Linked DNA regions of Canis lupus familiaris. The protein of the gene in region 7 purifies or fractionates together with the protein of the main gene of each other region. This does not show direct contact. Links are inferred from orthologs where the notes say so. Each region holds a gene or a part of one and is shown on either strand. Other genes may lie near its edges.

Region 1 (3,500 bases), on a different chromosome or scaffold from region 7:
GGTACTTAACCAAAAGCAGACACATAACTGACTAAGCCACCCAGGCACCTCTGACGTTTATTTTTAAAGATACAGTACCTACCTGCCTCATATTTATAATTTATAGTGGAATTTGTCATTTACAAACTTACACAGAAATCTATCTCTACATGATCATCTGAGCTGGTCTTAGAACTATGCAAATTTTAAAAGAACTGATAAATGATCAGAAATAGAAAACTAAGCTATGAAGAATTAAGTGTGTTAATGGAAGAAAAAAAATGTGCATTTCATAAAAATCAACAAGAATCTTCCCAATTTTTTTTTTCTGAAAACAATGATCTCAAATACTTCCAATTTTTAAATACCAGAATTCTATGCCTAGAACCTCAGCAGTTTCTTCTCTTTATTTTATAGCCCTCCTTCATTTCCTTCTTTCCAACAACCTGGTAATCCTCACATTAAAGAATTCTAGGACAGAGATGCCTGAATGGCTCAGTGGTTTAGCATCTGCCTTTGGCTCAGGGCATGATCCTGGGGTCCAGGGATGGAGTCTTGCACCGGGCTCTCTGCAGGGAGCCTGCTTTTCCCTCTGCCTATGTCTCTGCCTCTCTGTATCTCTCATGAAAAAAAAAAAAAATTCTAGGACAGGGGTTGGCAAATTATGGCCAAGGTCCAAATATGGCTTGTTGTCCATTTTGTACACCAGATGGCCAAGATTTTTTTTTTTTTACACATTTTTAAACAGTTGGGAATAAATCAAAGAATATGTGACAGAGATCTCATGTGGCTCGCAAAACCTAAAATATTTACTCTCTGGCCCTTTACAAAAAACTTTGCTGATCCTGCTCGAGGGTATTATTTATCACAGCTTACTCAGTAATTTAAGACAGTTCATATCAATGACCAGTTCAAAATGAATCATTACATGTTACAGTGATAATTAGCACAGAACTCCTTTGTAACAGTATTTTTGGTCTTTATGCATACCACTTAGTTCCAATAACCAATTAAGTTGTTTTTTAGAATGCTAGCACAGAATCCCACACATTATGGAAGTTCAAATATCAAACTCAGACCATCTAAACAATAGTACTTCAGTTACAATGCTAGTCTATAGTAGTGGAATGGCTTGGATACAGGAAACCCTTTTTCTATCTTGGGAATTCAGATCAACTGATAAGCAAAGAAAGCTCGGACCATTTTCTCCTATTTGCACATCCCCCATTCTTACTTAATTAAAAGGAAGAAAATAATTTTTCCTTGCTTTCTCTGAAGTCCATCCTAGGTGAGATGTATAGATGTACGGATATATATCAAAATCTCAATGTGTTTTTTTAATTAAGTTTTCTTACAGAGAGTTTCTCCCCAAGTATTTGGAAGAAAACAAACACAGAAACTTACTCCAGAGCAGGTCTCAGAACTCTGACTTTTAATGCTTCTAATATTCGATTTAACTCCACAAATGGTTCTTTCTGACTTGGGTCTACAGAAAGACCAGATTCCTGAAAAAATAGAAAGTACTTCTGTTAGCAGTAATCAGGTTAAAAGATATAATAAGGGATCCCTGGGTGGCGCAGCGGTTTGGCGCCTGCCTTTGGCCCAGGGCGCGATCCTGGAGACCCGGGATCGAATCCCACATCGGGCTCCCGGTGCATGGAGCCTGCTTCTCCCTCTGACTGTGTCTCTGCCTCTCTCTCTCTCTGTGACTATCATAAATAAATAAAAATTAAAAAAAAAAAGATATAATAAAAACATATTCTAAATTATAAAATATGGCGCAAGCCATTAAAAATAATTTTTTTACCATATATTTCTATGGTACAGACTGAAGACTGAGCCCTACTATCATTCTTTCCAGTAGTAGTAGAACCCTTATGTATTCCATACAGAGTACATCAATGTATGGAATAAAGCTTCGTATGACTTTGCAGAGATGTAAGTTCTGGTCAGTAAAACATAAACATGTACTCTTTATCCCTTCCTGGCATATCAAAAGTTGTAACAGCAGAGCTACAAGGAGGGTAGGTCCCTAAAAGCTCATGGAGCACAGCTACAATATATGCTGTGGATGGCTTACTACCTCCTATTTCTGTGCAAGAGAAATAAACTTCATTTTTTTAAGCCACTGGTATTTTATGTCTTTGTACTTATAAATCAGCTTAATCCTAAACAATATAGGATTTAATAGACATAAACAAAATTCCCATACAGAGAAAGACCTGTGTTATTGTTTTTCTGAATTATTTAAAATAGAAGTGGTGCCTGGGTAGCTCAGTCGGTAGAGCATGCAACTCTTGATCCTGGGGTTGTGAGTTCAAGTCCCACACTGGGTATAGAGATTACTTAAAAATAAAATCTTTAAAAAAAATAATAAAATAGGTTTAGATTAGAGGTTTTGTTTACAGTCTGGCTTTAAACTATTTCATCGGGATCCCTGGGTGGCGCAGAGGTTTAGCGCCTGCCTTTGGCCCAGGGCGCGATCCTGGAGACCCGGGATCGAATCCCACGTCAGGCTCCCGGTGCATGGAGCCTGCTTCTCCCTCTGCCTGTGTCTCTGCCTCTCTCTCTCTCACTGTGTGCCTATCATAAAAAAAAAAAAAAAAAAAAAAAAAAAAAAAAAAAAAAAAAAAAAAAAAAAAAAACTATTTCATCTTTATAATCCTTCATTTTTCTAAACAGAAAATACAATAGCACATGGTGGCTTAGACTAAGTTTGAGGACATGAATTTGGGACTGAATCCTAGTTCCTTTGCTAAGGAACCTGCATGGCCTCGGGCAAGCCACTTCTCCAGACCTCAGATTCCTTATCTGTAGAATGGAAGCAATTTTTACCTCACAGGATTGCAGTGAAGAATAATGGCAGGAGTTGGCTTGTGGACTCAATACATGGTAGCTGCCACCATTCTGACTAGGTGATACTGGTGAACTATTCTGAGATCCCTAAGCTCATGTCTACTAGCAATAAAAGACAAAAGCTGCTCATCTGAAGTAAATTTTAGCTTTAAACTCATTTGATAAACAAAATGCTACAAGTTGGGCCAGATTCTTCTTTTCTGCTATCCTACCTTCCCTATTAAAAGAGGAAATGGGGAAGGTCATATCACTTTTGACCTCTTGATGACCTGGGACCAATGTGATGGGGCAGGAATAAGGAAAAAGCAACTCAAATAAGAAGTTCTAGGATCGTAGTCTTTACTAATTAGAAAAGAAAAGAAAAGAAAAGAAAAGAAAAGAAAAGAAAGAAAAGAAAAGAAAAGAAAAAAAGAAAAGAAAAGAAAAGAAAAGAAAAGAAAAGAAAAGAAAAGAAAAGAAAAGAAGAAAAAGACTTCCTAGTAAAATGAGGTTAGTCCTGAAACTTAAAATATTAAAAATCTATCTATGGCTAGAAGAAGATTCAAAAACTCCAAGGAGTCCCCTCGTTTATTTCATCCTCTCACACACTGGCACACTGGTAGCAGACATACTGTTACCTGGCAGAGCTCTTCAGCTACGTCCAGCATTCCTTGTCGGAAGAAGTG
Region 2 (4,293 bases), on a different chromosome or scaffold from region 7:
ATTGTTACTGAAGCATAAACAGGTTTAAGCGGACTGTTACAGAAGACTGGCCCCGCACGTCCAAACACCACCATCACCCCCTGACTAGCTGCTGTATTCACTGGCTCCACAGCCTTCCTGCTTCCAGTCTTCCCCCTAAACTACTGTACCCCTCAGCCAGCCTGGCTCATGGAAAAGCTGCTCTATTCAAATTCTCCAACCGCCTCCCTTTGCTAAGTATAGAAATCAACGTTCTTCTAAGAGCCTACTAACCACCACCCTTGGCTCCCACATCTCTAATCTTCAGCCCTGTTCCTGTCCTGAACTCCTGTCTGGTCACAGCGGACAATCCCACTTTTCCCAACATCCCAGCCCAGGGCCCTGTGGCCAGCTCTTCCCCCAGATGCCCACATGGTGCTCTCTCCACTCCTTACACTGTTCAAGTCCATGAGTCAATGGGGCAGAGCCTGCCCACCACCTTCCTTAGGCCCCTAGCCTCCTAATGCTGCTCTCCTGGTTTCCCCCACTGCCTTTATCACTCATCACGGGCCGTTCTGATTTGCACTCCCGGGTACTTTCAGTGGGAGTGCGGGCGGCGGGGTGGTTGCTAGGTAACAAGGGCGGCGGCCCCCGAGTGTCCTCCCGCCCCGAGCGCCCTCCAGCCTTCAGGTCCTCCCGCCCTAAGCGCCCAGCAGGAGCGAGCGGAGGGCAGAGCGGCCGCGGGCCCATCACCGCAGCCCGGTTCACGGCCCGACCCGCGGGGAAGGCGGCGGCGGCCCGAGCGCAGGCAGTGCGGGGGAGACGGGCCCCGTTGGCACAGGGGCGGTGTCCAGGGAGGGAGTAGGGCGGCCCGCGCCCCTCGCCCCTCGCCCCTCGCCCGCCGTCCCGCGGGTGCGGAGCCGTTTACCGGGAGCCGCAGCGAGTTCCGCAGGACCCTTCGGGCCGCCCCTCCGCGAGGGGGCGGCGCGTGGGTTCGGGGGCCAGGGGCAGGGCCGCGGCCGGGCGTTGGGGCCGGCGCCCGGCCTGAGCCGAGGGCGGCCAGCGGGGAGCAAGACGCCGCAGCGCGGCCGCCAGCACAAAGCTTCCCGCGAAACTGACGTAGCGCGGGGCGGCCGCGCAAGCGCCGCCCTCGGCCGCGCCCCTCCCCCGCGCTCCCACTGCTCCTCAGTGCGCCGGCGTACTTCCCCTCCTCCCATTGGCCACGGCGCGGCGGCGCGCGCAGGCCGGCGCGGGGCGCACCCCGCGATTGGCGGGTCGGCGGCGGGCGGGGGTGTGTCCGCGTCGCACCCCGCCTCCGGCTCCGCTCGCGGTGGTGCGCGCGGCGGCGGCGGCGGCGGCGGTGGCGGCGTCGGCGGCGGTGGCGCGTGGCAGGTCCGGCGGGCCCGAGGCGGCGGCGGCCCGAGCCCGGCCCAGCCTCGTCCCGCCTGGCCCCGACCCCGGCCCGCCGGCCCGGCCCACCCGGCGCGCCGCGGCGCCGCCCCGGCCCGGCCCCGGCCCCGGTCCCGGTCCCGGCCCGGCGCCTCCCGAGGGAGCGGCGCCGCCGGCCGAGCGCAGGCCTGGCCATGACCGACTTCAAATTGGGTATCGTGCGGCTCGGCCGGGTGGCCGGGAAGGTGAGCGGCGCGGGGGCCGCGGGGCCGCGGGGCCGCGGGGCCGGGACGCTGGGCTGGGGCCGTGGGGTCGGGGGCTGCGGAGCCGGGCGGGCGGGCGGGCGGGCGAAGGGTCCCCGCGGGCAGCACAGCGCCCTTCCGAGGCGGCAGGACGGTGTGCGTGCGTGTCGGCGCCCGCCAGCCCGTCGTGGAGCCTCGCGCGGGGTTCACGCTGCCGGCGCTGGCCGAGTGCGGACGGGCCTCGATGGGCCTCCCGGAGCAGGGCCTCCCTCTGCTTCTCTCCCTTACCTGGCCCCGCCCTCCGCGGGTTCGAGGCCGGGGCTTCCTGGCACCTGTGGGCATTGAGGCTTGGCTGTTTCCAGGAGCCGGCCGGCCGTGCAGCTGCTCCAGCCACGGACCTTACCCTGGATGGGAACCCTGTTCCCATCCCCAGCGGCGGCAGCTCCTGGTGGGAGACAGGAGCAGAGGCAGTCAGATGAAGGTAAAACCGACTTAGATCTTAGAAGGAGGCTCCCCGAGCAAGAATGAGACTAGTCCGTTTGGGGGGCCGTTTCCTGCCTTTCCTGCAAGAGGAATGTGGCTTTTTACCTGGGGAAGGGTGGGCTCCCCATCGGCTCTGAGACCTTTTCTTATTCAGTGACTGGTTGCATTCAGATCATCCTTTAAAACTTATTTGGAACATTTCAGAAGAAAGCTAAACAGTTCAGTGAGCACCTGTGTACTGCCACCCATCCTAATAAATAAATGTTTTCGAGGCCTTCTGTATGCCTTGTCTCACTCCAGGGCCCCTCCTCTGTTCCGAGGAAGCCCCAGTCTCAAATGAGGGTCAGCAGCACCTGAAACACAGCTTAGAGGTTAGCCAGTCCAGGGGCACTTAGGGCTTAGGCGCGTATGGATGGGAAGTGAAGCCTGATTCCTACTCCTCTGGGACAGTCTGGAGTGGGAAATGACCACCTGCCTTGGGGGTAGGGTACTTGGTGCCCCTCACCTGCTAGCCTCATTTAACCTGAAGGGGCGGTTTCTGTTACTAAAACTTTACTGTGACCCTGAATGTAACATTGCGAAACGTGGTTAATTTCCAGACGAAGTACACACTGATAGATGAGCAAGATATCCCGCTGGTGGAGGGCTACTCCTTTGAGGTAAGGATGGCTGTTTCTCTGTGGGCCTGCTTTCAGCCAATGCTTGAGGAGGGTCAGGAGGAATGGGTTTTACCCTGTGTTGTTGGTTCTCTCCCACTTTCACCCTGGTGCAAGTAGATCACATTGTGTCGTGTTTGTGATGATGTTCAGTTGGATAAGCCCTGGCTCCCTAGGGGACTGTCCAAGTGCCACCTCATGTTTCTTCTGGCCTTGGCCCAGCGTTCCTCCATCCCCCATCTTCCTGAGCTCCCTTGCCTTCCACTCTTCTCTGTGGGATGAGCTTCTGTTCACCTGCCCATCCTCACCTACCGGCTCCTCCACTTCAGAAATCCTTGAGGGCTCTGTGGACCCACTATGCTTTATCTCAGCCCTTCGTGTTTTTACAGAAAGGGTGGCCCTTGAACAAGAGTTTGAACTGCACAGGTTAACTTAGATGTGGGGGGGGTTTTGATAAACATAGTCTATTACTGTAAATATATTTCATCATGACTTCTTTGAAAACGTTTTCTTTAAGAATATAGCATACGATATGTCTCACATACAAAGTTTGTGTTAATCACTTGTTTGCCTCAGTAAGGTTTCTGGTCCAGAGCAAGCTATCAGTGAAGTCTCCGGAAGTTAAAAGTCCTATGCGGATTTTCACCTGTGTGGGGGCTCTGTACCTTACCCTACGTGTTCAGGGCTTAGCTATTAGTTACTTGTTCAAGGGTTTGTTTTTCTCACTGAATTGTGGGCATTTTCTAAGAGTAGGAAAACTTGTCTCTTTATGTCTACAGTGTTTTGCAGAGTGGTTTGTGGAGTATGTTGGGATACAGGGCTGGCTTCTCATGTCTGGGAGCCTCTGCAAAGCCCGGGGTCCCAGAAAGAGGCCTCATATATTTGCTCTAACTTGTTTGTTTCACTTCACTTCTTTAATAAAGTTTGAAAATGTAGCTGAGACCTGAAGGCTTTTTAACAGACCATTTCTCTCTCAGGCCCGGATGGAAGTAGATGCAGATGGAAATGGTGCTAAGATATTCGCATATGCCTTTGACAAAAACCGAGGAAGAGGGTCAGGAAGGCTCCTTCACGAGCTGCTGTGGTAGGTGTTTATGAGCTGCTTGTTCCTCATTTGGGTACTGCATGCAGCAACCTGTCCCTGTTGACAGAGGATGTGTTATCGGAGTCATGCTCCCCCCACCACCCCTCTTGTTACCTTTGAATCATTGCCGCTAACCCAGAGGAATGGCTCATTTGTATAGCGTACCACTAATGGAGCAGTCTAAAAGTGCACTTTCTGCTCAGGCACTTGTACCGGGCATGGCTCTCTCTCTGGGGTAGGGAGGACTCTGCTCCGTCCACTGTGTTCTTGCTGAGCCTGTTGGTGGGATGTGAGGAATGGCCTGCCTCCTCGTGGCGTCCACGGTGGAACTGCTGCTTGGAACTGCTCAGATGGGGTGTTCTCTAGGCTGTGTGTTTGATGGTTGGGGGCTCCATCCTTGGCTTTTTGCAGCCCAGCTCTCAAATCAAGGGGCTGAACTGTTAGCATGGTCCATCTTGTTTGACCACAGACTGACTGACAT
Region 3 (4,222 bases), on a different chromosome or scaffold from region 7:
TTTTATTTATTTATTCATGATAGTCACACAGAGAGAGAGAGAGAGGCAGAGACACAGGCAGAGGGAGAAGCAGGCTCCATGCAGGGAGCCCAACATGGGATTCGATTCCGGGTCTCCAGGATCGCGCCCCAGGCCAAAGGCAGGCGCCAAACCGCTGCGCCACCCAGGGATCCCTCCCAACAATATTTTTGAAGTGGGTTGTATCATCCCCATGTTTGAGATACAGAAGCAAAGGCCCTGAACTTAAGAGACTTCTTCTTTTTTTTTTTAAGCTTTTATTTATTTATTCATGAGAGACAGAGAGAGAGAGAGGCAGAGACACAGGCAGAGGGAGAAGCAGGCTCCTCGCAGGGAGCCTGATGTGAGACACGATCCTGGATCCCAGGACCACCACCTGGGCCGAAGGCAGGTGCCCAACTGCTGAGCCACCCAGGCATCCCGAGACTTCTGAATTCCCAAAGCTGGAAAGATATTTAGCCAAAATTTTTGTTTTAGTATGTACACTTGTGGCTTTACGAGCTAATAGAGCTTGTTGTCATCTTTTGGAGTGCCCAGAGACTGCAACCTGAATAGACAGCAATTCGACAATCATCTTTGCCATAAGCTAATGGGCGAAGAGGCAGTTTATCTCTGTGGCTAAGAGCGCAGGTTCAGGAGTCTCACGAGGCTGGGATCAAATCCTAGCTCTACCACTTTTTTTTGTTAGCATTTTTAATAAATGATTTTATTTATTTATTCATAAGAGAAACACAGAGAAAGGCAGAGAGCTAGACAGACGGAGAAACAGGCTCCCCGCGCGGAACCCAACGTAGGACTGATCCCAAGACTCCGGGACCACGTCCCTAGCGGAAGGCAAACGCTCAACCACTGAGCTCCCCAGGAGTCCCCTTAGCTCTACCGCTTATAAACGTGTAAAACACATGATCTCTCCAGGCTTCTATTCATTCGTAAAACGGAAATATTACTACCTCATAGAGTTGTGAGGTTAAATGTGCCATATATAAAGTAGTTGGCACATAATATATGCTCAATACATGCAAGCTGTCTCTTACTAATGATAAAGTGCGCCAGCCCTTTTGCTAGCATCTAGTGTTCTCAGGGGGCTAAGTCAGTCCAGATTCCATTTCTGCACCACCGATCCTGAGGGGCTGAAGCCCTGGACCAATGGGCAGAGGCATTTCACTTTCTGGAAGTTCTCAAACCCTCCTCTCCGCCCTCAGTCGGGTCAGGGCCTACCTCGACGTAGTCGCGAAGCTGGAGCACCGCGGCTTGGGGGAGGCCATGACCCTCAGACAGTCGGGCAGCCAGCACCCGCGGCCCGGGAAGCTGCGGTAGTGTACAGCCCGTCGCTATGGCGACCAGGCCCCAGCATCCTAGCGGCGGGGGCGGAGTTGAGTCTGTGCCACGCCCACTCGGCCAGAGCCCACAAGCTGGGAGCAAAGCCAATAAGCAAAGGTGGCCTCGGACCCGGGGACAGGGTCCCCTCAGTCAGTTACTACCAGTGATTTGACCCTGGCTATCGGAACTGAGGCGGGGGGATAAACAGAGGCCATGGGGGCGGGCGGTGAACTGAGGACCCGGAGCCGCGTCGCCAGCGGGAATTGTAGTTTTTGGTTTCCCAAAGTCTCCGCTGAACAGGCTTATGACTGAGCAAATTTGTACTACATCTCCCAAAGTTCCTTACGAGCACTGGTTGTCCCGCCTCTGGAGAGCTCTGCATTGTGGGATATATAGTCCGAAATGTGGCGAAGCAGGGCAGAGTCCAAAGAGAGGTGTAGGACTTGGACTCGGTTTCCCTGCGGCCTCGGTAGGCTCGCGGGCCATTGGCTGAGCGGGGAGATCTGGTCTCGCTCCTCCCCGCCCCCAGTGACACAATAGCAGCTCCCTCCAAGATGGCGGCGGCGACGGCGGACCCGGGAGCTGGGAGCCCGCAAGCTGGAGATTCCTCTGGCGGGGGCGCTGGGGGCGGGCTGCAGTCCCCGGGGGAGCAGGAGCTGAGCCGGCGCCTTCAGCGCCTGTACCCCGCGGTCAACCAGCATGAGACGCCGCTGCCGCGCTCCTGGAGCCCCAAGGACAAGTACAACTACATCGGCCTCTCCCAGGGCAACCTCCGCGTCCACTACAAAGGTATCGGCCAGTTTGGCCCTGGGGGTGGGGGGAAGACCGGAGCACCTGCCGGGCGGCTGTGCTGCCCGGCCCCTGTCCCATCACGTCCCTTCCCCGATTTGGGTGCCCCGGGTTAGGCCTTAGCCCCTGCGGGGTGTCCAAGGTGTTGAAGCTGACCAGGCCGAGGGTCGACTGCCTGGACTGCTGTGCCCCGAGACACCCGATGTCAGGAGGACTGCAACAGGTGTCCAAACCCAGTGCTAGGCTGGACCTTCCTCCTGAGGGCCTTGCTTATCCTGGGATAGCTCCAATTCCAGCTGGGCCTTTCATCACTGCTTAGTTTGGGGAGTGTCTGAAGAAAGGGGTGGTCACAACCCCTCCATTAGCCAGAGGCCCATGGGCTTGCTCACCTGCCAGATATCAGAGAGAGCTTGTGGTTCTTTACTCAAGTTGAGAGGGGTGATCTTCCAGAGCTGCCTCCCTCTCCCCTGATCTAGGTGGGCTCTCTGTGTTTTGGAGAGACTGCCAGCAGCGCTTGGGAATCTCTCACATTCATCCACATTGCCTGCACCCTGACTTAGTTTGTATGGGAGAAATTGTCTCTGGCAGGGCTGCTGTTCACAGTAAGAGGTGAGCCAAAGGTGGGAGGTTTATGTGTTTGCTCAGTTGTTATCTGGTTATTCCTCCAACAATGTCAGGGCTTCCTCTGGCCATGAAGCAGTGAAGTTGCCATGGAGTAGAAAAGAACAGGACTTCTATTTGCATTTCTTTCTGCTGAAATTTCTTACTTGCTTTCTCCTATTAGGTCATGGCAAAAATCACAAAGATGCTGCCTCAGTGCGTGCCACCCACCCCATACCTGCTGCCTGTGGCATTTATTACTTTGAGGTGAAGATTGTCAGCAAAGGAAGAGATGGGTAAGCCCCTTCTTACCACCTTCTTTCCCTTGGCACTGAGCTATTCCCTATGGTCAGAGTTTGAGGTCTTCTGGCTGACACTTGTGACTGATGTGAGTTGCTAAGATGCATGGGTCTGGGCTACAGAGGGTTGAATAGTGAGTGGGCTGTCTCTATGACCTGACCGTGGGCATGGCCTAGTCTAAGCAGCAGCCCTTGATGGCAAGTAGGTTCATTGAGGGTAGAGGAGGGGACTTCCTATTCAGTGATTATGTAATGAGATACCTCATAGGTCAGGGAAACAAGTAACAAGTTTACATTAACAATTCAGGGTCCATGGATCCCTGGGTGGCGCAGCGGTTTGGCGCCTGTCTTTGGCCCAGGGCGCAATCCTGGAGACCCGGGATCGAATCCCACATCGGGCTCCCAGTGCATGGAGCCTGCTTCTCCCTCTGTCTGTGTCTCTGCCTCTCTCTCTCTCTCTTTCTCTCTCTCTCTCTCTGTGACTATCATAAATAAATAAATTTAAAAAAAAATTCAGGGTCCAGAGTGGGATTTCCCCTGCTGTTATATGACATTTGTGACTTCCCTTCTTTCACACTCTTGTTGCATTCAGGGTTCTTTTTTATGGCATTTAGTCACATAGAGGCCCCTGTAGGCTTCAAAGGGATAGTAGAGTCTTCACAGCATTTATCACAGCTGTGGCAGCCACTAGCCTGTCATGTCAGGGTAAATAACATGCACATGGTCAGAATCAGATGACCTTGCTGCTCATAAACTTGTTTTTCAGTCCAGGGACTCAAACACCAGTTGGACCAGCTTTAGGAAGGTCCTCATTAAAGTTAGCATTAGGGAGGCTCCCTATTTTAGGGTGATCTAAGCAGACACCTGGAAGTCAGAGGGGTAGATTTCGCATTTTTCTTTTTTTTCCTTTTTCTCCTAGTCTTCCCTTTTTCCTATTGATTGTGACAAAGCAGGTGTTTAACTTATATAATAACATGATTTCAGCTGTCTTGGAAAGGCTTTCCTCATCAGACCTTAGGTCTGATGTGGGAAGTTTGCCAACTAGACCAGTGACCTTCGTGCCAACCCTGAATATGTGTTCTTGAGCATTCAGAATACTTCCTCTCTCCTAGGGACTGTCCCTTTTGTGGTACATGCAAAACGCCCAGCCAAGGGGTTTGTGTTGGGGGAGGACTGATAGAGTCAGAGCTGTGCCT
Region 4 (4,277 bases), on a different chromosome or scaffold from region 7:
GATGGGATTCTAGCCAGCCTGTCAGCACCTGACTCAGAACAGAAAACTGTTAAACTGCACGAGTAGGTAAATAAAGAATAAAGAGATATAAGGGGAAAGAACTAAGAGCAAACAGAAAAGATATCAACTAGGACGGAGAAGGTAGGGCTGAAAATTGTGAAAAATCAAGGGCCCCCAAGCCTGACCACCTACCCAGCTGGAGACCGATACCTGTGCTCACCCACCTGAAGCGCAGGAGCCCCTCCCGGCCATTGGTGGCCTCTTCCTCAGGGAATAGCAGCAGAGGGGTGGGGGGAAGCCTCGTGGAAGCACAGAATCTCTTGAGTGACTCCACCAACTCCCCCCGCCCATCCATCTCCATGAAGCCCCGAGACCAGCACACAAAACTTGGGGGACTATTGAGTAGAGGCTGGGAATAGAGAAGAGAGAAAGCAAGAAAAGAATATTGGGAAGTGAGAAAAACTGACATCTAGGGTACAGAAGCGGGATTGGGGGTAAGCCTCAGTATTTCCCAGTGGTCCCCAAGGGAAACCCGGGCGGGCTAAGGGGAGCCTCCAGCTGGGCCCCAGGGAACCGCCCCGTAGAGCTCTCGGCTTTGCCCCCCACTCACGGTGCTACAGCTGGTGAGCAAGTTGACTATGTTATGGTCGAAAGGTGTCACGTGGTTGGAAATGAGGACCCTGACGCGGTGATCCCGGAGTCCGGAGTTCTCCTGCCGGGCCACGAGCCCCAGCACCGCACACATGGTCCGCACCACGAACCTGGGGACGCGGGCAGTGGTGACTCCACGGCCTCCGGCCGGGCCCAGCCCAGCCCTCCCCGGGACCCCCAGGCCGTTACCTGCGAAGGACACTGTCCGGTAGAGCGCAGCTGACCAGGAAGACGTGGATCCCAAGAAAGAGGCGCAGGACAAGGAGGCAGAACCCGACGGGAGCATAGAGCAGCAGCGCGAGGAGCAGGAAGCCGTCACCCGGGAGCCTGGGGGCGAAAGGCGGGGTGATCGGGCGCCGGAGGCCGAGTGCACGCGGGAGCCGGCCTCTTCCCGCCAGGGCTCTTACCGGTGAGAGTCGAAGAGCCGCTCCGGCCCCAGCGCCGGGGAAGGATCCATCGCGGGGGCTTTAGAGCTCTCCGGCCGCCGCCGCCATCTTCGCGCCCGGCCGCAGGGGCTCCTGGGAAGGCGGAGTCTTCGGGCATCCGCCCAGGGTGCGGGCACCCGAAATCTTGAGGCGCCCCGGAAGGGCTAGCGGTCCCAGCATGCCTCGCGGCCCTTGGGCCACCTAGGAACTCGCGTCCCGCGGGGACCACAATTCCCGGCATTCCTGGGGCGGGGGCGGAGTCGGCCTCCCGGAATCCTGGGTCCCGGCGTGCACTTCTGGAGGACTTCAGGTCCCGGCGTGCCCCGCGTCCCTCCGTCCGCCACCTCGCGTCCAGGGCGCCGCCTCTGTGTAGGGCGGGCGAGGAGGCAGTCGAGGCGGAGCTGATGGCTGCACTGAGGGCGGGGCGGGGTGCAGCCTGGAACCTCCGGGGATGGCGGGCTTTGGGGGGGGTTCACTCGGGGAAGGGACCCCTGCTGACCCCTGACCTCCGGGCCTTGCTGACGTCAGGAATTCCTGACCCCCGGGCCCGAGTGACTTATGGGACCCCCAGCCTCCGGGCCCGGTGGTCTGTGGGGGTCCCTGAACCACGGACGTGTCTGACGTCGAGGACTTCGGATTCCCGAGCATGGCTGGCTGTAGGGACCCCAGATCCCAGGACCCAGGAGGGCTCAGGGACCCCTGGAACCCGTCCGCGTATATGGCTGGCGGTGGCGCTGGGCGCTGGGGGGGCAGTGCTGTTGTTACTGTGGGGCGGGGGTCGGGGTCCCCCAGCGGTCCTCGCCTCGGTCCTTGGCTCGCCGCCCAGCTCTCCCCGGAGCCAGTACAACTTCATCGCAGACGTGGTGGAGAAGACAGCACCTGCCGTGGTTTATATCGAGATCTTGGGCCGGTAACGGTGGGGAAGGCAGGAGGCACCAAGCCGCGGGCTAGAGGGCGGAGGAGCCGGGGTGTGAGCCTCCCTGCATCCTTGCTTCTCACCCCCACCCCTCCAGGCACCCTTTCTCCGGCCGCGAAGTCCCTATCTCGAATGGCTCAGGATTCGTGGTGGCTGCCGACGGGCTCATCGTAACCAACGCTCATGTGGTGGCAGATCGGCGCCGGGTCCGTGTGAGGCTGCTCAGCGGCGACACATATGAGGCCGTGGTCACAGCTGTGGATCCTGTGGCAGACATTGCGACGCTAAGGATTCAGACTAAGGTGGGGGCTGAGCAGGCTGGGTCTGGTTGGGGCTGTGAATTTGCTCACATCTTCAGATGACAGGTCTCTTATACCCATTCTCTCTCAGGAGCCTCTCCCCACACTACCCCTGGGACGCTCAGCTGATGTCCGGCAAGGGGAGTTTGTTGTTGCCATGGGAAGTCCCTTTGCACTGCAGAACACGATCACTTCTGGCATTGTCAGCTCTGCTCAGCGTCCAGCCAGAGACCTGGGCCTCCCCCAAACCAATGTGGAATACATCCAGACTGATGCAGCTATTGATGTGCGTTCTGATATAAGAGAAATGACAAACTAGGTTGGGGGTTGGGGGAAAGGCTGTGTGGTACAGGCACCAACTGTTGATAGATGGCGGATGAGCCTGTATACAGAGGTTGGGCTGCAAATATGTGGCCACTCAGGTTGGGCTGGGAAAGGAGAGAATTTGGAAAAAGTGCCTACATCCTGGTCATGCCTCCAGGCATAGAGTTCCTGGATCTCTTCCATATTTTCTCCTTGTCCTGCAGTTTGGAAACTCTGGAGGTCCACTGGTTAACCTGGTGAGTGGGACATCCTTCTTTCCAAGAATCCCTGCCCCAGGTCAGTGTGAGAATGGGTGTGCTTCCTCTAATTCAACGATGTTTGGTCAAGTTTCTAAGCAGCCTCCTGTTGGCTATCTCCCAAAATCCAACCAGGTCTCCCCAGCCTGCTCCCTCATTCTCCCTGCTACTCTTGTTCAGGTATCCCCTCCTCCTACTATGTTTCTGGGCTAGGGATTAGTGGGCTCTGTTCCTGCAGGATGGGGAGGTGATTGGAGTGAATACCATGAAGGTCACAGCTGGAATCTCCTTTGCCATCCCTTCTGATCGCCTTCGAGAGTTTCTGCATCGTGGGGAAAAGAAGAGTGAGCCTGGCTTAGGGGGGAAGAAATTACTTTGAGTGGTGGGAAGGGCATTCATTGTGCTTTACTGGAGAGGGGTTGTCTACTGGGAGGAAAGGGAGGGGAAGGAAGGATGTAACTGGGTGGGGCTCATTTGTCCCTCTATCACAGATTCCTGGTTTGGAATCAGTGGGTCCCAGCGCCGCTACATTGGAGTGATGATGCTGACCCTGACTCCCAGGTACGAGCTTTGGGGGTAGTGACCTGTAGGACCACCAGTATATTCAGTGGTGGGCAAGTGGCACTTCTGTTGGGCTTTGTTCTCAGTTTTATCTTTATCTAAGATAAGTTGCCCCACACTAGGAGCTATCAGAAGAGCTATTCTCATGATCTTGACTTTCTCACTCCAATCCCTCTTGTACACCTGCTACCAGATTGATTTCATCCTGTTACTGCTTTGGTTTAAAAACTTCAATCCATTAGCCCGGTGCTTAGAGGCCATTTTCCATTTGTCTCCAATTTAACCTTTTAGATCTGGCTTCTTACAAGAATATATTCTGTTCCAGCTGACCTGGATTTCCTACTCCTATGGTTTTATTTATATTGCTCTTGTTTTATATAGTTAAATACCAGAACCATTTTATGCTCAGCTTATGTTCTACTCTCTCAAAGTTTCTCTTAGAATTCTAGAATGACATTAGTGCTATTGATTTAATATGATGTATCACTTGGAATGAGTTACCTTTTATACACATGTCCCACTTCCTAACTTTGAAAAGGCAGAAAGTGAATTGCCTTTGTATCCGGAGTATCTAGTGCATGCCCTTGTCCATGCAGTTGTCGGTGTGTTGATGAGAGATTTGAGGTGAACCCAAGATGGGGAGAGTGCCTTGGTGCTGTTAACAGAGTGATCTGTGTCCTTTTAGCATCCTTGCTGAACTACAGCTTCGAGAACCAAGCTTTCCTGATGTTCAGCATGGTGTACTCATCCATAAGGTCATCCTGGACTCCCCTGCACATCGGTGAGGAAGAGACTGCATTGTGAGGTGGGGATGGGTGACGTATGCATGTGCCCTTGAACCGGGCTGTCTATCCCCTCCTTTCTC
Region 5 (4,094 bases), on a different chromosome or scaffold from region 7:
GATCCGCTGCCGACCACAATCGGCAGGGCTGTGCCCCCAAACGTGCGGGGCTCTCCGCAACGCCTTGCGGACGGCGAGAGGGCGCTGCCGCCCCGCCCCGCCCCGCCCCGCCCCGGGGAGCCCCGCGAGGCGCATCCCGGACCCTCCAGGACGGAAGGGGCGCGGTGGCGGCCCGAGCCGAGCGGGCTGGGGGCGGGGGCCCGCCCCGCCGTGGGCCCGCCCGGCACAGGCCTCGTTCGCGCTTACCGTTCTGGGAGCGGATCGCCTCCCCGGTGCTGCGGTCTCCGAACACGGACAAAGGCCCCTCCATCTTGGCGGCGGGGTGCACGTCGAGGTTCACGCTGACCGCGGGCAACCAGCGTCTGGATCCCAGGCCCGGCGGCGGCCACTGCAGCGCGGCGGCGGCGGCTACGGCGTGGAACGGGGCCGAGCGAGGCCGCGGGGGCTGCTGGGAACACCGCTGCCGCGGCCGGGCCGCGGGGCAGGGCGGGAAGGAAAGAAAGGGCGGGGGGAGCGAGAGTGCGAAGGAGCCGGAAGTGAGGGGGCGGGAGAAGGCGGGAGCAGCACTTTCGCCCAATTAGAGAGCGAATGAGCAGGGCGCGAAGGCAGGAGAACGGAAGTCAGGATCGCGCACTGGAGGAGGAAGGAGGTGCACGGTTGAGGCTTCTCTTCCCCTCCTGCGGGAACGGGTTGCGCGTGCGCGCTTGCACCTTCTAGTGCTTTCTAGAAAAAGTGGACGGTGGGGCGGAGCTTGCAGTTGGGGTGTGACGAGAGGGCGGGCCTCTCCCGGTTCGGCTGCACTCCTGAGCGAGTTCGGCAGGTTCCCTAAGGGTCTTCAGAGAGAACGTGGCGAGTCGGGGCTGACTTCCGAGCCCACGAGCATACGCTTGGGGGCCTGAACCTGGGTGGGACGGGCCAAGTGCTTTCTACGAGGAAAATGGCCACCACGGTTTCTGGAGAGAAACTGCATCTTGCGCTGCGCCGGTTCCTCCCGTTGCCCAGCGGGGCCGTGTGTGGATCTGACCGCGGTCGGCAGACGCTTTGCGACCGCAGGACCAAATAAGGCAACGTGAAGTTACGGGTGCCTCGCGCCTGCCGGTCCGGCGAGACGCCGCCCGCGACCTAGCGAGCTGCGCCCCGCCCCCCGCGCGGTGCTGCGAGGTGGTTGGCGGGCTCCAGCGTAGCGTGCGCCTCTGCGTGGGCAGTGATTGGAGGAGCCGAGGTGACTGATCGCTCCGTCGGCCACTCGGCGACCCGGCTCGCCAGTTCCGGGCGGAGGCGTCGGTGACCCCGGGGAACCCCGGGGAACCAGTTCTCCCTGAGTCAACATGGCTGCGGCCGGCGAGCGGCTGGGACGCCGGTGAGGGGAGGACGTGAGGCTTTTCCGAGGCGTAGCCCGCGATCCCTCAGCGATGGCGCTCCGCTCGCGGTTCTGGGAGTGCCTGTCGGTTTGCAGAAACCCCGGGAATTCCCATTTCTCTCAGACGACTCCTCGGGGGCTGCACAGTAAGTGTGCACATGCAAGTCGTGTTTTGTAGTCCACCCCGCCGAGCAGCTTACGGGCCGACAGCGCTGTGACGACAGTACTAGGACCTGTGATGACTGCGTCCCGTGACCAGACTTCCCTCCCTCCCTCCCTCCCGGGGAGCGAGGATTCGGGGAGTGGACGGGGATAGCGGTTGGGCCTTATTCCCGTTTTGTCCGTGTGTGTCAGTTTTTAAGATACGCGTGGTGGTTCCCGTTCTTAGGGTGTGGGGTCGCAGCGCTGTCAACGAGTGCCGAGCCCGCGGCGAAGCCTGAAGTGGACCCTGTGGAAAACGCAGCCGTCGCCCCAGAGTTCACCAACCGGAACCCCCGCAACCTGGAGCTCCTAGGTGTGGCCAGGAAAGAGCGGGGTTGGGGGACAACCTGGCCCTCCCGGGAGTTCTGGCACAGGTAACTGCGGCGGCCGGTTAGCCGACCGACGGAGCAGTGCACGCTGCCCTGCAAAGCGTTCCTCAGCTCAGTCCACAGGCCGGATACTTGTGGCGATTCTCTTCTCGGGAAACCGCCGTTTGGTGGTGGAGGAGGGTTCAGTGGCCGGGGGCGGGGACACAAACCAACAATAATGGAAGTAAATAAATGAATGTCAGGGAGAAAATTTAAAGAGGATGATGTGAGGTTGGGGAGCCTGGGTGCCTGCTAAGGCCCCTTCTGAAAGATAAGGTAACCTGCCGAGAAGAGCACTCCCAGCAGAAGAAACGGCTGGGGTGGGTGGGAATGGGAATCCTTTCCTAAGGACTATATAAAATCGTAACAGGAAGTTAGAGTCATAACTATGATATATTCATTCCACAAACATTAGGCCTATGGCACTTCATAGGCATTGTGCTAGATGCAGGAGATGCAAAGAAAGTAGATTTCATCCTTGTTAGCAAAAATTTTAGGTTTTGTTTTGGAAGATGGAATAGGGATAATAAAATTTTACGATTGCTGTGATGCGTTTTTACTTAGTGTTCATAGGAGGAGTCAAAGAAAGGGAGTAGGTAGGTCACTTTTGAAATAATTTGGATCTTAAGTCTAAAATTCTTTTGAAACCCAACCGTTTCAACTTAATATTTGGACCATCTAAATAGAGATGTATTTTCCCACTTTTTTAATTTCCTATCTGCTATATTCACATTATCATCAGTATGGAATTTTGGCATATTATAGTGGGAAGTGACCTCAGAGAAGATGAGTCCTGTGCCTTTGTTGGACAAAGGTTCAACAAATGGTTTAACATACAGATCAGCAAACGATGGCCAATGGGCCAAAGTTGGCTTGCAAACTAAAAATTTCTTTTTTAAAGTGTGAAAACAAATTTCAAAAAATAATATTTTGTGACGTGAAAATTATATAAAATTCAGATTTCATTATCCACAAAGAAATTTTTTTTTTAATTTTTATTTATTTATGATAGTCAGAGAGAGAGAGAGGCAGAGACACAAGCAGAGGGAGAAGCAGGCTCCATGCACCGGGAGCCCGACATGGGATTTGATCCTGGGTCCCCAGGATCGCGCCCCAGGCCAAAGGCAGGCGCTAAACCGCTGCACCACCCAGGGTTCCCCACAAAGAAAATTTTATTGTAACATACCACCACTCATTCTCACCTGGCTGTTCTAGTGTTAACTGTGGCTGAGTTGAGCAGTTGCAAGAGACCCTACGGCTTATAAAGCTTAAAGTATTTACTATCTGAGACTTTAGGGAAAAGGATTGTTGACCCTTGATTAAGAAATTGTGATTTTTCACTAGGGCTTCCAGCAAAACCAGGTGTAGAACCCACATTTCTCAATCTAGTGCTTTTTCTGCTGTTTCACACTAAGAATCCTAGTGTGATCTCTAATTTTAGTGTTTTCTTTAACGTGAGCTTAATTTTTAAACGTGTAATATAAACATATGCTATAAAATCCAAAGGGGGGATAGTTTGTGTATCCTTTTAGAGAGAATTTGTGTATACCGGTATAAACTTATAGTTTTAAATTACAAATCTTAGCACACCATGTACACTGTTATTCATCTGAATCCTCTCCGCTCCCTTCAAAATACATCTTGGAAATCCTTTATGGTGTTTAGGAACATTAATTCTGGGGCCAAAACCCTGGACTGAAGTCCTAGCTCCATTACTTACCATTAGTTGTGATCTTGTTAAAGTTTCTAAACCTTTCTGTGTCAGTTTCTGTGGCCTTAAAAAAAAAAAAAAAAGATTATGGGCAGCCCTGATGGCTCAGCGGTTTAGCACCGCCTTCAGCCCAGGGCCTGATCCTGGAGATGCAGGATTGAGTCCTGCATTGGGCTTCTTGCATGGAGCCTGCTTCTCCCTCTGTGTCTCTGCCTCTCTCTCTTTCTGTGTCTCTCATGAATAAATAAAGAAAATCTTTAAAAAAAGAGAGATTATTTTGAAACATGAGCTATCCCAGTAAACAAGACCGTGCCTGACATAGTAGGCACTCAATAAATGGTCAGCAGCATTCTTTCTGGTAACTATAGAATACCACTGCATGGATGTTTTAGTTAGCTAGCTCCATACTGATGATTACCTTAGTGATCCAAACCATGTTGCAATGAATTGCGTA
Region 6 (3,070 bases), on a different chromosome or scaffold from region 7:
CTGGGGAACTCCTGGAAGCAATTTTAGCCATGCACACAGCAAATCAGAAGTAGGTATATGAAGCTAGAGACAGACCCCAGGCCAGCTCTCCTGCTGAGCAGAATGACCCTGGTAACCCAGTCCCTTTAAGCACTCCAGACTTCAGGTGCCTCCCTGCTCCCCAGGGCTCAGCACAGGGCTCAGCTGGCACAAGCAGCAAGCAACCAAGCTCCAGGCACCCTGCAGTAAACCACAAAGAGCTTGAGATTGAGGGTCAGATCCAGTTCAAATTCCTTCACAAGCTGTGAGCCCCATAGGGCAAGTCTGTTCATCTTCCTAAGTCCCCTGGCACTGCCTCCTAGAAGGGAGGGGGCAAGATTTGATACGTGTTTGTGTAAGAACCTCTTGCTCAGGGCGTGACATCCCCGGGCCTCTGCCCAGTCTGAGATGCAAGTGGGGTTCTCCCTGGGTGTGGGGGCCCTGCAGTAGTTCCTTGTCAGTGAGGCTAAAGGAAGGTGAAATACAGAGAAGGCCTGTGAATATATTTGCTCAGTTATAAAACAGTGGCATTCAGTTGGAACCCGGACTATTTACAGCGGGGAACAGATACATACAGTTGTGAAGCTGTACAATAGAAGGGGTGTTAACCATAAGCCACCTGGCTAGCCATGTGACTGAAAGGACGTCTGCGTTGTTGGCCCAGTCCTCTGCTTCTTGTCGGTCGCAACCAAGTCACTGGCAGGTATAAACAGGAAACACCAGGAGTGCAGAGGCCCATGTCTCCCACCCTTCCAGCCAAGGAGCCAGCTGCCCATCACAGACTGGTTTGTCTCCTTTCTTGGCCTCTACCCATGGTGGCACTCAGTCATTTGCTCTGAAGCAAACCACAATCTGAAGTCAGCCACGCCCACCAAGACAGACCACAGCTCATAGGTGGGAAACCCCTCTGACAAAGTTCATCCCGAGCAGGTATCAGAATATGATGCGTTTCCCATCTGCTGGGTTCTGCTCCATGGGACAGTAGGGACACTTCAGCCTGCAAAGGGAGGAGAACAAAAAATGTCTCAGGGGCCAGCCAGCTGGAGAGCCCAGTCAAGAGGGAGCAGAGCATGGGGAACTTACTTTCCTCCATTAATGAGCTTGTTGAGTGCATCCCGCGAGATAACGTGGCCACATATGAGCTTGATGGGAGGGTTGGAATCTGACGTCTGCTGCCTGAGGATGGGGCATGCGAACACTGAGTGGTACCAGCACTTCATGCCGAGTTCGATCTCAATCTGAGGAAGCCAGCAAAGGGGTGAGTCCCTGCAGGGGCAGCAGCTATCCTTCCCAGGGTCTTCTGCCCACACCTCCCCCTGCTGGGCCTCACCGGTAACTCGTCCTTGTGACTCCAGACCCCCGTGCACTGCCTCTGCTCAATCACAGCTTTGATGTTCATCAGCACAGGCAGCGCCACACAGCCAGAGGCAAAGCTGCAGAACAAAGAGCAGCAGCTGCAGTGCCCCTGACCAAGGACCCAGCAGACACGCCCAAGGCACCAGCACCCAGTCGTGGGCCTGTGTCTTAGGACAGGGCTCTGAGGTGGCACATGGTCAGACTGCTCCTTGAAAATCTCTCTGGTCACTCATAAAGTGCCACATGTGTAGTTAGGTGTGTCTAAGTCTAGAGTCACTAATGCACCCCAGAGTTTGAGGACCTATGGGAAAGATAAAAGGAAGATCTAGGGGAGAGCTATCTGCTCCTCCAAACCACTGGAATGTCGCTGGTATGATGGGGACAGTGATCAGCTTGAAAGGGCCCCAGCCTGCCTGTCTGCCCCACTCTGCCGTCATAAGGCACCTCTACAACTGCTTATCTTCCATCAGGGCACTTAGACACGGGGGCAGATTCAAATCTCACAATGACTCAGGCAGGGGCGGGGAGTCGACTGGCTGGTGCCTCAGGTGCTAAATAAATACCTATGATGCTTGGGGAAATTGGGCACCCAGGAACCATCATGGGTTGTCCCTGGTGTTCCTGCTGGGAAACACTGTTTTTTAACCAAAATCCGCCCCCCCCAAGGGGTTGGGCAGGAGAGTCCACAGTCAGTCTAAATAAAAGGCACTGTGACACTGCTGCATGGGATTCTGGGACCAGGTCTTTGTAGCCTTTCTTCCCTGTGGGGCTCTGGGCAAGTTCACTCATGCCTTGAGTCTGTTTTGTCCTCGGTAAAATGAGGATAACTACCTGTAATTCCTAGGACCTGGTGAAATCATGAGAACATTAAAGGAGTCCAAGGGAAAGGTCCTGATATGTGTTATTCAGGCACTTTCAAATCTCCCCAAAGGGAAGATGTTTGAGAGAGAAGGTTGAAAAAAGGCAGCCAGGCTGCAGAGGGTGTTGGGATAATTCAGGGGTGAGGTGCAGGCAAGAAGGAGACCTCATTTAAAAGACCTGACAAAAGGTCACCGCTGACCTTGCAGTGACATCAGGCCATGACTCTTCCTAACCTCAGTTTCTCCAACTGTAAAATCAGGTAACTCCTACCAGGGAGAATGACTAAGAGAGCCCATATAGGTCTGAAAGCACCAAATGCCATCCCTGGCACAAGAAAGGACCTTGGCAAACTTTCCCTCAAAGCCTTCCCACTCGTGCCGCCCCCACAGGACTGCCGGTACCTGACGCTGAGGGGGGACTCTACAGAAAGCCCCAGCAGGGAGCAAGCGTCCCGGGTGAAGGTCTCACAGATCTCTGCCCAATGGCTATTGTCCAGGAGATGGCAGTAGGGTGACTTCTCCAAGCCCAGCCGCAGGTACACCAGACTGCCCATCATCACCTGGATCTCTACAAGGCAATCGGGTACAGGTCAGGGTGAGGGGGGGTGCTCAGAGGCAGGGTGGGGAGCAGGCTGAGGCTCGCAGCTCCCAGGTCCCCACCACCACCAGATGACTGGGCGCTGAGTTGCCCTCAGGCAAACCCGGTTTTCCCTCAAGTCCAGTGTAGAGGCCGAGTCTCGGGGCTGCTTCTGTGGGACAAGGCCACAGGGCAATCAGGTAGAGGAGAGTTTGAATTCTCTTCTCATCCTTCCATGTGCCCTAGGGAAGAGTCTCAG
Region 7 (3,500 bases):
ATTGATTTTCTATCAGGCTAGTGCAGGCTTTATAATACAACCCTAGGCTTCCAAGAGGAAAAACCTATTATTCTTATTTTTTTTGAACAGTTACTAACATTTACTAATACCACAAATCCATGGATTGTTGAGTGTAATGCTCACAACTAGTACGTGAAGAAGATGCCATTAACCTAGTTTACCAATTAGGGAGAAGAGGAGGGGTACAGCAGTTGAGTAAATAAACCAAGGTTACTTGCATGGAATCCTTAGAACTCTACACAATGTTGCTTACTAAGGGGGGAAGGGTCCTCAGATCTCATTAAATTAATTGACTTGCTTCACCAAAGACTATTAGCAAGTATTCGTCTTAAATGTTCTTTTATCCTTGGGTTCATTTTGTACACTGATAATGAGAGATCTCAGGTTCATAAAATGATATATAGTCAATGTATTTACATTTATTTTGTTTTAGAAGAGTAAGGGATGTGCCCAAAGTTACCAAGCCAGTCAGTGGTGAAATTCAGGTCTTATAATTTTTAGGCCAGTCTCTTACCTGAGTTTCTCTATGTTCTAGTTGCTTCTGACATGTCACAATAAATATTGATGGCTTTCATGTGTTATTATCTTTTTCTTTCTCATTATGTCTTTTGATTATCTGCCATGAGGGTGATATAAAGTCTTTGTCTACAGAGCTAGTGAACTGCTTTCCTATAAAACTATGTTGCAAACTTAATGAAACTCAAGGATTAAAATATATTTTATATTTCACTTGAATTTTACATATTTTTACAACGTCTATATCTTCCTAATTTCCATAAAAATGAAAAAGGTGTGACAAGGAAAAAACTATTTCACTTTCACTCTTAAAACACATCTAAAACCAATTAATGTGTTAATAAAATATCATTTTATGCTATGCACACATACCATAGTTGTAAATGTATAAAAAGAAATAGAAAAAAAAGAAATGGGAATACCAAGATTTATATTCAACACTTACGACTTAGTGACTTTTACGTGTGTTCAGAGAGAATTAGCTCACCTTTAATACAATACAGTTGTCATCTGTCCGAATTGCTCCAGCTCTACACATGTAAGTTAAACTGGAATAAGATGGCAAAAAGTAAGTTTTTGCTTGTGTTTTAAAGCTTTAAAAGAAATATTCCTTGCCTTTAGGATTTTATGGGGCAAAAAAAGACAGCTACTCTTCATTTTGTGGGAGGTTTTTCACATTACCTTATATGAGGTTCTGCCAATTTACTACTCAAAAGCAACTAATGGATATATACAGACAATAAAGTCAGATATTTTTAAGAAATGCATACAAAATTGTTTTTTAAAAATAAAGGCTTAATGAGTGGATAAACTGAAGCCAATGTGCCAGGCACATTGGAGGCCCTTACACTTTTTTCTACACGTTTCTGTGTTAGAAAGTTTCCATAATAAAAAGGGAGAAAAAGTTAAAAATATAAAGTTAAAATATAAAATATAAAAATATAAAGTTCACAAAGTATCTAAGATTATATCAAGCTAAACTGGGATATTCTAACTCCAATAAGAGTAATATAAGTATCACAGAAGAAGCATCTAACATTTAACACTTAGAGATAGCCATAAGAAATTAATGATTCTTCAGAGTTTGCCAGCAGTGGCTTTGACAACCGGTCAATGATTTGGTTGTACTGAACTGAATAACAATTTGCCTTCACAATTATATCTGGCTTTGAACTAAGTAGCTACTGAACACTGAGCACTTTAGAAACTTAACGAATTTCCTTTTTGGATTAGATTTCTTTAGTAAGCTGGGCGGGCAGGGGGAGGGGAGCAGGGTGGTAGTACATCTAAAACACTCCATATTCTGGCTTCTACAGAAAGCTATTTTAAAAAAATCAATAAATTTTTTACTTAGATTATAGAGGACTGAATTGTTTATAGCTGTTATCACCTTAAGACTTGTTACCACATTTTTAAAAAACTGATTCCACAAGAGCATTTATCTTACTTAACAAAGTTTTTTTTTTTTTTAACAAAGGTTTTGAAGACAAAAAGCCAACTAGTATACAATATACTCATATAAAAAAATTCATTGTGCATGAGTAATTCACTGAAAATTCCCCATTCTTGCCAAAATACTAGAGAGGCACAAATTCTTAAATATTGGAACCATAAATTTAGCAAAGAACCTTACACAACAGGTGCTCAACCTATCAATGTATTCATATGACCTGAATGTTCATATGAGCTAGGACTTGTATTAATAAGAATTTATCTTATAAACGGTCATATCTCTATGAGAATTTTATGTTTTGTTTTTTCTAAACACGAGGAAGCCATATTCTCTGAAATTATGCGTTGGTTATCAGCTTCAACTAATTCTCACTCCATATTTTTGTATCTTTATATTTTCTCAATTCTTTGCATAAATTTGTTAGTTAAATCTAATTCTATATTATTTCAACTGAAACACAAAGAGAGTACATTGAGAATGTAATAAGGTAATTTTCTGTGGATAGCCTTAGCTGTTATATGAGTGCTGATGCTCTGAATGCTACTAATAGTACACTGAGTAAAAAACTCATGCCCATTTAAGAAAATGTGAGACAACCCATGACTTGCAAATTCCAAAATCCCAAAGATGAGGATTGGCAGTGAGCTGATTAGGCTGTCCAAAAATACTCTAACATATTGATAAAGCACAGTTGTTCTTCCCACATTGTCTTGACTTTTACCATTTTGCTGATGTCAGCTGCATCTCAATAGGCTTATCCCTCTGTAACATCTTCACAAAAATTTGTGGTAACAATTCTCCATCAACCAAAACTAAAAATAAAAGAAACAAGAATTAAAGAATTCTTTAAATCTACAAAGTTCATAAATTAAATCATGTAGGTGCCACTGAAAGTTCCAGCCTACCATTTACCAGGGTCATCGATACCTGGGGGTTTTCAAAAGCTAAAACTGAGAAGCATTTCAGTGCTTGCATTCGAACCTGTAACAATAAATAAACAAAAAATGCATTTATCTTGATTTTGCAAATATGAATTTTAAGGTCTCAGAATCTAAACTCTTCTGAAGAAACAATTGTTTAAATCTGCTTAAAATAGAAAGAAAGGCCTCAAGGGAACACCTGAATATCTGGAGTACAGTAAGTTAAACTTAATTATAAAATGTTAAAATTAATTTTGAAGTAAAAGAAAAGAAAAAACAGGAAGAAGCAGCAACTAAAATTTAATTATATAAATTCCTAATCAAATTTAAAAGAACAATGTACAAAATACAATGTTGGTAAGTCAAAGTGAGCTTAATAACACTTAATTACCAAGTACCTTTCAAGTGGGACATTTCTTCTCCCCAAACTACAAACAAGAGAACTGAAGACAAAAAAAGGAAAACAAGAAAAAAAGAAGGTGTACTCTTAAAGTTGTGTGAGATGGGGTTGTGGCAAAGGGAACAGAAGGAAACAAAGTTAAAATCTGAAAAGGACTAAGCTAATTTATTTTTATTATTAAACCAATTTT

Evidence for each region.
Region 1: the proteins of ARMC8 (region 7) and RMND5A purify together in Homo sapiens (affinity purification with mass spectrometry; 5 studies listed by BioGRID and IntAct, counting the BioPlex papers as one, with this or other methods). This does not show direct contact. The link is inferred for Canis lupus familiaris from reciprocal best matches to the Homo sapiens genes ARMC8 and RMND5A.
Region 2: the proteins of ARMC8 (region 7) and ZMYND19 purify together in Homo sapiens (affinity purification with mass spectrometry; 4 studies listed by BioGRID and IntAct, with this or other methods). This does not show direct contact. The link is inferred for Canis lupus familiaris from reciprocal best matches to the Homo sapiens genes ARMC8 and ZMYND19.
Region 3: the proteins of ARMC8 (region 7) and RANBP10 purify together in Homo sapiens (affinity purification with mass spectrometry; 5 studies listed by BioGRID and IntAct, with this or other methods). This does not show direct contact. The link is inferred for Canis lupus familiaris from reciprocal best matches to the Homo sapiens genes ARMC8 and RANBP10.
Region 4: the proteins of ARMC8 (region 7) and HTRA2 purify together in Homo sapiens (affinity purification with mass spectrometry; 5 studies listed by BioGRID and IntAct, with this or other methods). This does not show direct contact. The link is inferred for Canis lupus familiaris from reciprocal best matches to the Homo sapiens genes ARMC8 and HTRA2.
Region 5: the proteins of ARMC8 (region 7) and MRPL18 purify together in Homo sapiens (affinity purification with mass spectrometry; 3 studies listed by BioGRID and IntAct, with this or other methods). This does not show direct contact. The link is inferred for Canis lupus familiaris from reciprocal best matches to the Homo sapiens genes ARMC8 and MRPL18.
Region 6: the proteins of ARMC8 (region 7) and RMND5B purify together in Homo sapiens (affinity purification with mass spectrometry; 4 studies listed by BioGRID and IntAct, with this or other methods). This does not show direct contact. The link is inferred for Canis lupus familiaris from reciprocal best matches to the Homo sapiens genes ARMC8 and RMND5B.

Annotation. Positions count from the first base shown.
Region 1 is NC_049238.1:38,714,441-38,717,940, forward strand, and holds part of RMND5A (E3 ubiquitin-protein transferase RMND5A), read right to left. Parts: coding exon 3,453-3,500; intron 1,485-3,452; coding exon 1,384-1,484; intron 1-1,383.
Region 2 is NC_049230.1:48,177,324-48,181,616, forward strand, and holds the start of ZMYND19 (zinc finger MYND domain-containing protein 19), read left to right. Parts: upstream 1-1,493; 5' UTR 1,494-1,541; coding exon 1,542-1,592; intron 1,593-2,671; coding exon 2,672-2,731; intron 2,732-3,705; coding exon 3,706-3,812; intron 3,813-4,293. UniProt on the Homo sapiens protein: May be involved as a regulatory molecule in GPR24/MCH-R1 signaling.
Region 3 is NC_049226.1:82,245,889-82,250,110, forward strand, and holds the start of RANBP10 (ran-binding protein 10), read left to right. Parts: upstream 1-1,422; 5' UTR 1,423-1,684; coding exon of another isoform or gene 1,685-1,824; 5' UTR 1,825-1,892; coding exon 1,893-2,127; intron 2,128-2,911; coding exon 2,912-3,023; intron 3,024-4,222. Other genes in the region: TSNAXIP1 (translin-associated factor X-interacting protein 1), read right to left, coding at 1,685-1,824. UniProt on the Homo sapiens protein: May act as an adapter protein to couple membrane receptors to intracellular signaling pathways.
Region 4 is NC_049238.1:49,111,623-49,115,899, reverse strand, and holds the start of HTRA2 (serine protease HTRA2, mitochondrial), read left to right. Parts: upstream 1-1,477; 5' UTR 1,478-1,480; coding exon 1,481-1,986; intron 1,987-2,089; coding exon 2,090-2,294; intron 2,295-2,382; coding exon 2,383-2,577; intron 2,578-2,818; coding exon 2,819-2,851; intron 2,852-3,089; coding exon 3,090-3,195; intron 3,196-3,342; coding exon 3,343-3,412; intron 3,413-4,097; coding exon 4,098-4,193; intron 4,194-4,277.
Region 5 is NC_049222.1:49,590,863-49,594,956, forward strand, and holds the start of MRPL18 (39S ribosomal protein L18, mitochondrial), read left to right. Parts: upstream 1-1,294; 5' UTR 1,295-1,412; coding exon 1,413-1,506; intron 1,507-1,748; coding exon 1,749-1,935; intron 1,936-4,094. Other genes in the region: TCP1 (T-complex protein 1 subunit alpha), read right to left, coding at 247-310. UniProt on the Homo sapiens protein: Together with thiosulfate sulfurtransferase (TST), acts as a mitochondrial import factor for the cytosolic 5S rRNA.
Region 6 is NC_049232.1:3,659,357-3,662,426, forward strand, and holds the end of RMND5B (E3 ubiquitin-protein transferase RMND5B), read right to left. Parts: intron 2,803-3,070; coding exon 2,637-2,802; intron 1,452-2,636; coding exon 1,349-1,451; intron 1,257-1,348; coding exon 1,102-1,256; intron 1,016-1,101; coding exon 952-1,015; 3' UTR 501-951; downstream 1-500. UniProt on the Homo sapiens protein: Core component of the CTLH E3 ubiquitin-protein ligase complex that selectively accepts ubiquitin from UBE2H and mediates ubiquitination and subsequent proteasomal degradation of the transcription factor HBP1.
Region 7 is NC_049244.1:34,998,916-35,002,415, reverse strand, and holds part of ARMC8 (armadillo repeat-containing protein 8), read right to left. Parts: intron 2,972-3,500; coding exon 2,896-2,971; intron 2,803-2,895; coding exon 2,712-2,802; intron 1,086-2,711; coding exon 1,025-1,085; intron 1-1,024. UniProt on the Homo sapiens protein: Component of the CTLH E3 ubiquitin-protein ligase complex that selectively accepts ubiquitin from UBE2H and mediates ubiquitination and subsequent proteasomal degradation of the transcription factor HBP1.